Linked DNA regions of Coturnix japonica. The protein of the gene in region 1 interacts with the protein of each later gene in a pairwise test. Links are inferred from orthologs where the notes say so. Each region holds a gene or a part of one and is shown in the gene's direction. Other genes may lie near its edges. The genes, in order: BCL11A and NR2E1.

Region 1 (3,805 bases):
TTTGATTCTCTGTGGCTTTAAGTTCATTAAACGTGAAATTGGCAGCTAGCTAAAGAAGGTCAGACCCATTAACTGTTTAGGAGTTGCGTTCCGTCTCGCCCATGTTACCTGGTAGCGACTGGCGGTGCTCTGCGCCTGCAGCACGCTCTCCTTTCTGCCGTTCCCATTAGCACGTGCAGTGCTGCACAGGCTGGGGAATAGCACTGTGCTGCTCTGTTTTGTTTCGGCAAGCCTACAGTGGTGGGGGCTGTACACGGCGCTGGGGGCTGTACGCTGTACACGCTGTACACGCAGTGCTGAGCTATTGTCGTGCAAACTCAGGGAAAAAAAAAAAACAGGCAAAGAGAAAAAGAAAGACGAGTCTACCTTGTTAGAGCATCCTCTGATGATTATGTGGACAGAAATAGCCTCATAATGAAGCTTTTTGGAGCTCATTCAGAAAATTTGTCAACTTTGACAACATTAGCTGAGGTATTTCGATCTCACAGAAAGCACCTCTCTGCTGTTAAGAACGGTGGCATTTGCTTGGCCACACTGGTTGGTGTACGGTGAAAGGCCACCGGTACTAACACAGTGCAGAGAATTTAGGCATGCCTTTATTTCAGGATGAAAAAGGAAAAATTACTAATTGCCTCACGTCTTTGAGTGCTGTACCATGTCCTATGTGGTTGATATCTCTGGGTGGAATTGTTGGTGAATTTGGAATTTATTTGAACCTCGAGGAGCAGCTGGATAGCGAGAGGATCCTCCTCCCACCCCGCAGGAATTTTGACTGCACTTGATTTTTATCAGTTCCTTCTCTGCTGTTTCTTTATTTTCTCCCTCTTTTTCTTTCCATGAGCGGCTGCTGCTTTTTTCAGTGTGCAAATTATGAGCCACCAAAGTGGGCAGTGGCACACGGGCACACACGCACCTGCATGGGGAGAGCCCCATCTCTCTGCCTTCCCTCTGCTCCTGCTTGTAGTGCTTGTGCTGCCTGCATGTTGCACACACAGGGTGTGTGCTGGAACCTTTCCTCTGCATGCACACGTGTCATTCATGAGCAAAAATTTTACAAAGTGGGTCTGGCTCTGGGAAATACCCCCCTGTGTGTGTGTGTGCGCGCGTGCAATGCTTTCAGCCTTGAATTCATGTACATAAATAATACATCTGGTGATAAAGCACAGTATTCACTTGTTTTCCTAGCACCACCGCAGCTTTGCAGCACATTCTCATAGGCTGTTCATTTGATTTTACCAGTAAATCGTTAAATCGAGTCAGAAATCTGTCCTCATCCACAGGAGCAGATACAGTGGCAGGGTTCTACAGGCTGCGGCTGCTCCTGCACAGTGTGTTCTTGGTGGCCAGTGAATTTGATTCCTATTGCAGTGGTGATGGTTACGGGGCACTTCTTTGCTGGGGGTGAGGGGGCACACAGCAATGCTCATGGCTGGGAGCTTCCCGTTTGCCCCTGTGCCCGGTGCTCATTACCAGAGTTCTAATGTGTCTCTTTTGTTTCTCCAAACACAGCTGAACCTCTTGAAGCCATTCTCACCGACGATGAACCTGACCATAGCACGTTGGGAGCTCCAGAAGGGGACCACGACCTCCTCACCTGTGGCCAGTGTCAGATGAACTTCCCGCTGGGAGACATCTTGGTTTTTATAGAGCACAAACGGAAACAATGCAATGGCAGTCTCTGCTTAGAGAAGGCTGTGGATAAGCCACCCTCACCCTCACCAAGTGAGCTGAAAAAAGCATCCAATCCCGTGGAGGTTGGCATCCAGGTTACACCAGAGGATGATGATTGTTTGTCAACGTCATCGAGAGGAATTTGCCCGAAACAGGAACACATAGCAGGTAAATTAAAATGAGGAGAAGTGTTTGTGAGCTTATTTCTGTTCCAGTTGCGTGTCCGCGGTCTCACGCAGTGGAGTCTTGTGCCTGGCTGTGCTCCTGGTGGCTGCGCAGAGGCAGAGCGGCAGGCGTGTGTAGCGCAGCCCAGTGTGTCTGGCGGCACTGTGTGCAGCTGCACTCACATCGAGCTGTGCCGTAGTCGCCGTCGCGCTGCAGGAGGAGGTCTGGCCCTCTGCATGTGCAGGGAAGGAGCTGTTGAGCCGTGGGTAGAGCTGGCAGTGAAGGAGTTAAGTGAGCATCAGCCAGCCTAGGTTCCCATATTGGCTGTCAGCGTATGGACTGTAATTAAACACAGCCCCATGGCAAAGTGACACCACCGACCTTGACTTTAAGATGCCATTTTCGACTGGCCAGGCCAGAGTAGAGAGGGCAGTTGCTGAAGCGCACAGACATGCTTATTCGAAAAGTTTAAGGGCATGTTGGAAATTTCAAAAGGTTGGTTTGACAGGAAAGGCCGCTCTCTGCAGCCTGCCTCCTCAGCCAAATGATAAATGCCTCTCCGCGCTCACTCTTGTCTCTGATGGTGGTTTTGACAGATGTATCTTGATTTTGTTTGTGATTTACACAACCACATGTCATTCGGACAAATGTCCGAGGCCAGGTTCTGCTTTGTGCAACAATTGGCATGAAGCGTGTTTTTACAATAGGGTAAATAATTCCTTTTCTTAGCACATATATGTATATTTTAACCGGAGAGCCATTTGCTGTGCCAGTATTTTGTAAATAAGGTTAAATAATTCTGTATCCTCAGTTTGCCAGGGATGGATGTTGGGGGGCTTTTTCCGGAGTGGTGCAGTGTAGTGCCCATTTCCACGTGCTGACTGTGACACACAGCAAATGAACACGACAGGAGGCTGTGATTAATTGTGTGGGAGCCCGGTGGAAGGGATTTGTGGTCTTCCTAGAGCTGGAGCCATACTAAATCACCAAATATGGAGGAACGGCGATGTGATGTAACTCTGTATTTACATATTGAGCAGCTCTGCTTCAAAGACAGAATGCAGTATCTGTCAGGCAGGAATTAGGAGCAGTCCTCCGCGTGGTTCCAAATAGGCTGTTCAGGCTGTGAGCTGGGCCGTGGGCATGCTGGGGAACTCCTCAGCACAGGGCCTGGGGATGTAGCCAGTGCCCATCTGGTGTGGGACACGCGTGCTCATGATGCCCAGCAGCAGTGCCTGGGGTCAGCAGTGAGATGCAGGCTCAGGGCTGGGATAGCCATGGACTTAGGGCTGTGGTGTCTCTGCAGTGAGCCTTGGGTGCTTTCTAGCTTTGTATCTGCTTTTTTTCCCGTCTATCAGGAGATAACTGAGTTTACAGGTGTTTTTTTTTTTAAAAAAAAAAAAAGGTTAAAAAAAAGGTAGGAGGCTGCTTTTGGATGCATACTCAGGAATTGAGCAAGCTGATGTTCTCTGGTGAGAGACCAGAAGATGTGCATTTAGCAGCGATGTAAAAGCGCTCCCAGTCAGTTGTTCCTCTGACAGAGGTGCTGGAGGTGGGCTGTGGGTACAGGGCGTGCTTTGTCTGTGGGTTTGTTGTGTTCAGCAAGTCACCTTGAGTGAGTAATGGTTAAGGAGCAGACCATCTGCAGGAGCGAGCTCTGGGCCACTGAACGCGGAATGATGGCTGCTCCAGTGATGGCTGCTCCAACTGGCATGGATGCATTGCAGGCCTCCTGCTTCCAAGGATGGAGTGGTAACAGCACTCCAAGCAGCCTGTACACCCTGAGCACCCCATGGACCCTGTGCATCCATGCAGCCTTAGCACCCTGAGCACCTCGCGTACTCTATGCGACAGGGACGGTGTACACATGTGCGTACCTGGCTGCAGGCGGGTGAGCGCCGCTTTGATGTGATGTAAAATTGGGAGCAGTGCTGATCTGGCTCTGTAGCTGAAATGCCATAAATTTAAC
Region 2 (4,292 bases), about 56 Mb from region 1:
ATCCAGATACTTTATGGTGTAGGTGTGTGCACTGGCTGCTGGTGTTTTGTACTTCTAAGGAGTTATGAGGAGACAGCATCTTCTGTATCGAGACATCTTCTGAGATGTAGCTTAATAAGGGAGAAAAGGAAAGGAATAATAATAATAATTAATAATAATAATAAAAGAATATAAAAGCCAGTGATGCAGCTGCTCACCACCCACTGACTGGTGTCCAGTGAGTCCCCATGCAACAGTCCCCTCCCATTCACCTCCCCCCCCTGTTAGGATCCAGCACGGCTCCACACAGTACGGACCATCCCCTTGGCCATTCGAGGTCCCTGCCCTCCTTCTGTCCCCTCCTGGTGCTTGTGCACCCCTGGTCCCCCCCCTACGTGGCAGCACGGGGAGCTGAAACGCCCTTGACTGTGCTGCACCGCTCAGCAACAGCCAAAACATCAGTGTGTCATCAGTGTGATTCTCATCAAATCCAAACCATAGCACCACAGCAGCTACTAGGAAGAAAGTTAGTTCTTTTCCAGCTGAAACCAGGATGAGGGGCTGCCGTAGGGCCAGAGATGTGCCCTGTGAGTGCGAGACACACACACAGGGCCAGGTTTGGGTTCTGCTGCTACGCAGTCCCACTTCGGATTGCAAACCGTGCTGACGCGCTCCTCTGCTTTTCTGGTGCTTCAGACTTTGCTCAGGAAGGCAAACCATCAAGGGAGTGACGTCCTGCCCGCATCCCTGTTCTGCCCGTGCTTTTGCTTCTTGCGATCCCCCTGAGCAACGTCCGACGACGTGCAACCACTGCTCTACAACCTTGTCTTGGTCCAAGGTCCCCTCCGAGCCCCGGGTGCGACTGTGGGAGCGCACCCTTATCTCCAGCATCTCGCTTTTTGCTCCCCCTCTCCTTCCCGGGGGAAACCGTGGAGAAAATGCGGGAGAAACGGGACGGCGATCCCTCCTCGCTCCTCCTATTGTCTCCTATTTTATTTCCCCCCTTCTTTCCCATCTATTTATTCATCTATTTATTTGGGTCGGGGTCGCCGTTAGGGACGGGGGTTGCGGGAGCCGCTCGGATCTTCACGACCACCGTCGGTACCGACCCCCCCCCCTCCATTCCCTCCCTGCCCCCTCCCCGCCCGGTGACGTCACTCGCCGCCGAGATTTGGGGGGGACGCGCGGGAGCGCCGTGGGCGGGGGGCGGCATCTCCCCTCCCCGCAACGCTGTCACCGCGCCGCCGATATTATAGGGCCGAGGGCTGCGGCTCCGAGCGCCGAGTCAGCGGTGTAATGAACTTCTGGAAACCTTTCCCTTTTTCCAGCCTTCACTTTCTGAGAGGCTGAGACTGCCTCCTCTGACGCCTTTTCCCCCTGCCATTCTTTTGCCGGCTCTGATCTCCTGCTCCGCGCGAAGCCCGCTCCATCCCACCTTCCCCTCCGCTCATTGTGCCGCGGCCCCGAGTCCCGCCGGCAGCGCTCCGCCACCCCCGCACCCTCCCGGGGTCCCGAGCGCTCCAGCTCGCGGGGAGAGCTCCTTCTTCGGCTCATTTCGTTTCTTTATTATTATTTTTGGCCCTTCGGCTCCCGTGTTTTGTCTCGTTTTTTGGTTTGCTCTTTTTCTGTTGTTTTTTTTTCCTTTTCTCCGTCTGTTCCTGCGCCTCGGAAGCACCTCCCGGCGAGGATGTGTCGGCCCCAGCGGGCGAAGCAGCGCTGAGAGGCCGAGGGAGGCACCCACCCGCCCGCCGCAGCCGGGGGGGGCACCGCGCTGCGCCCCGACGGAGCGGCTCCCGGGGCTCCGAGCATGAGCAAGCCGGCGGGATCAACAAGTGGGTAACGGCGCGGCCGGGCTGCTGGGCCCCCCCGAGCCTGGGGGATGGGGTGGGGAAAGAGAAAATGAAGGGCTGGGGGGGGGGGGGGGGGGGGGGGGGGGGGGAGTGAAGTTTGGGTTCGCAATCCCGATAATTAAAAAGAAAACCAAAAGAAAGAAAGAAGGAAAGAAAGAAAGAGTTCGTATTGCACAGGTTGCCCTCCGGAGCGGCAACGAACGGGGGGCTCCGTGCTGAGCGCTGTCCCGCCGCTCCCTCCCCGACCCCTCGGGGATGGGGTGATGGGGCTGCGGGGTTCGGGGCACGCTGCCCCCTCCGCCGGACTTTGAGCAGCCTCCTCCGGCACGACCCTTTTCTTTTATTATTATTGTTATTGTTATTATTTCTGGTCAAAAAAGAGTTCCCAACTCCTACCGCTCGAATCTTGTAAGCGGCTCCGCCGAAGGAGGATTTAACAGCGGCACCGCGCACGGCATTTCCCGTTACACCGAATAATCCCGCAACGGGGAAAGCAGAAACAACGGAAAAGTCACATTTTCCTTAATCCTAAATCCGTGCTCCTCATAAGTGGGGAATTTAAAGCCGCCCGAGCGCCGCCGCACAGCGGCTCCGTCAGAGTAATCCCAACGGGACCTTCGGAGTTGGCAATATGGATGGAGTCGGTGACAAAGGGGGAAAAAATACCCAATCCAATTTAATGTCTGACAAGTGATGGCTCGGACGTTTATTTCCTCCGCGCTCCGGCATCGAAAGAAGCCGGGGGCGGGAGGGGGCCGCGGGGGGACGGGACCGCGGCCTTCCCTCGCCGCTGCCCCTCCGTTGCCCTCAGCCGGGGCCGAGAGGCTGCGGCCGACGGCGGCCCTCGGTGCGGAAAGCGGGCTGGAGCTGCCCGGTGGGGAAAGCGGGAGGGCCGGAAACCTCTGCACCGAAGGGGACGTATTGCGGAGAAGGAGCCCGCGGGGCCGCTGAGCCCCTCTGCTCCCTGCCGGGCCTTCCCGAGGGCTCCGAACCCTCGGCCTCCCCCCTCCCCCCCATCAGGGGATGGGGACGAGCGGGGACGGGAGTCCGAGCCGCGTTCCCTGGCCCGGCGACCGCCCGCTGAGCGCTGGGGGCTCCCGGCAGAGCGGAGGGGGGGGGACTCGGCCGGGCTGTGCTGCGGGTCCGCCTGGGTGGCAGCGAGCCCCAGTCCCTCCGGGCCGGGCTAACTTCTTTCAACAGCCCCTGATGGTAATTACAGTAATCGGGGCTGCCATCTATCCTTTAAGCAATTATGACAAGCACAAAAAAGCTCCCGAGGACCCCCCGTCGCGGGATGGTCACAACGGTTTCCCGGCTGAACCGAGAATGAGAAACCCCGTTTCCTTAGCGCTAAACTTCTGGGACGGAGCCGTTCTTCGGGAGCCGAGGAGCTTCGAAACAAGAGTTTCCCGTCCATCTCCCGACCCCGCGTTACCGTTTGCCGTTTTCCCGTCTCTCGTTCCGAGTTTTCCCACCGCCGTGATTGCGGCGGGGCACGGGAGATCGCGGCCGTGATTGCGGCGGGCGCGGAGCGGAGCGGGGAGCGGCGGAGATGAGATCTCGGGAGGAGCAGATGTGTGCGTGGTACATCAGCCCTCTATGGTGTATATAAGCGTGTGTGTGTGCGTGTGTATTTTTTATAGATCTGGGAAATGCGTCTGACTATTATTATTATTTATTTATATTATTATTATTATTATTATTGTTATCATTATTTTTTAAGCAGCCGCCAGCCTTAAAACCCGCCTGGGGAGAAGCACGCTGTGTAAGCGGCCCAAGTTCCCCTCTGCCACTCTCCGTGTCCCCTCGGCTCTCCGCTGAGCTCTGTCCGGGGCTCCCGGCCCCCACGGGTTGGGGTGTGCGCGGGGTGCTCCGAGTCTTCACCTCCCCCCCAAAAAACCGGGGCACTCCTCCTCCTTTGTGTGTGTGTGTGTGTGTGTGTACGCGGATCGTCGCCCCGCGGATGCGGAGGGCCGCAGGGGGAAGTGGAGCGCTCTCCCCCGTCGGCATTGTGCGCCATCCGAATTCCCATGCTACACTTTTTGACGGGTCACTGGTGTCCCAATGGGCAGGTGGCGAGGGGAACTTGTAATTACGCGCTCCCAGAGGCCGAGCCTCGGCCCCGGCCCTCCCCACGGGCGCTACCTGCAGCTCCGGGCCGCGGCCTGCGGCGGGCGGCAGACAGGGGGGGTTAGAGGGGGGGGCGGCCGTACTTGTTATTAATTGCGGAAAAGTTTTGAATGCTTTCACCTCTCCCTCCCGCCCGCCCCTCCCCGCGCGGTGCCGGCCCTAATCCCCGTCCCTCCGCCGCGCTGTGTGCAGCAGCTGTCGGCTCTCATTTGGGGAGAAGCTGGCAGCTTGCGCTCCTCGGGGGCAGTCAGACGGGGCTCAGCGGGCAGAATCATTAAGTTAACACTTTATCTAATGTCCCCATTGTCTGCCCGGAGGCATTGTCTTAGGGCC

The links.
Region 2: the proteins of BCL11A (region 1) and NR2E1 interact in a two-hybrid assay, tested with the Homo sapiens proteins (2 studies listed by BioGRID). The link is inferred for Coturnix japonica from reciprocal best matches to the Homo sapiens genes BCL11A and NR2E1.

Annotation. Positions count from the first base shown.
Region 1 is NC_029518.1:5,618,573-5,622,377, forward strand, and holds part of BCL11A (B-cell lymphoma/leukemia 11A), read left to right. Parts: intron 1-1,147; exon of another isoform or gene 1,148-1,373; coding exon of another isoform or gene 1,374-1,401; intron 1,402-1,509; coding exon 1,510-1,839; intron 1,840-3,805. UniProt on the Homo sapiens protein: Transcription factor. Associated with the BAF SWI/SNF chromatin remodeling complex. Binds to the 5'-TGACCA-3' sequence motif in regulatory regions of target genes, including a distal promoter of the HBG1 hemoglobin subunit gamma-1 gene.
Region 2 is NC_029518.1:61,370,275-61,374,566, reverse strand, and holds the start of NR2E1 (nuclear receptor subfamily 2 group E member 1), read left to right. Parts: upstream 1-1,201; 5' UTR 1,202-1,786; coding exon 1,787-1,811; intron 1,812-4,292. UniProt on the Homo sapiens protein: Orphan receptor that binds DNA as a monomer to hormone response elements (HRE) containing an extended core motif half-site sequence 5'-AAGGTCA-3' in which the 5' flanking nucleotides participate in determining receptor specificity.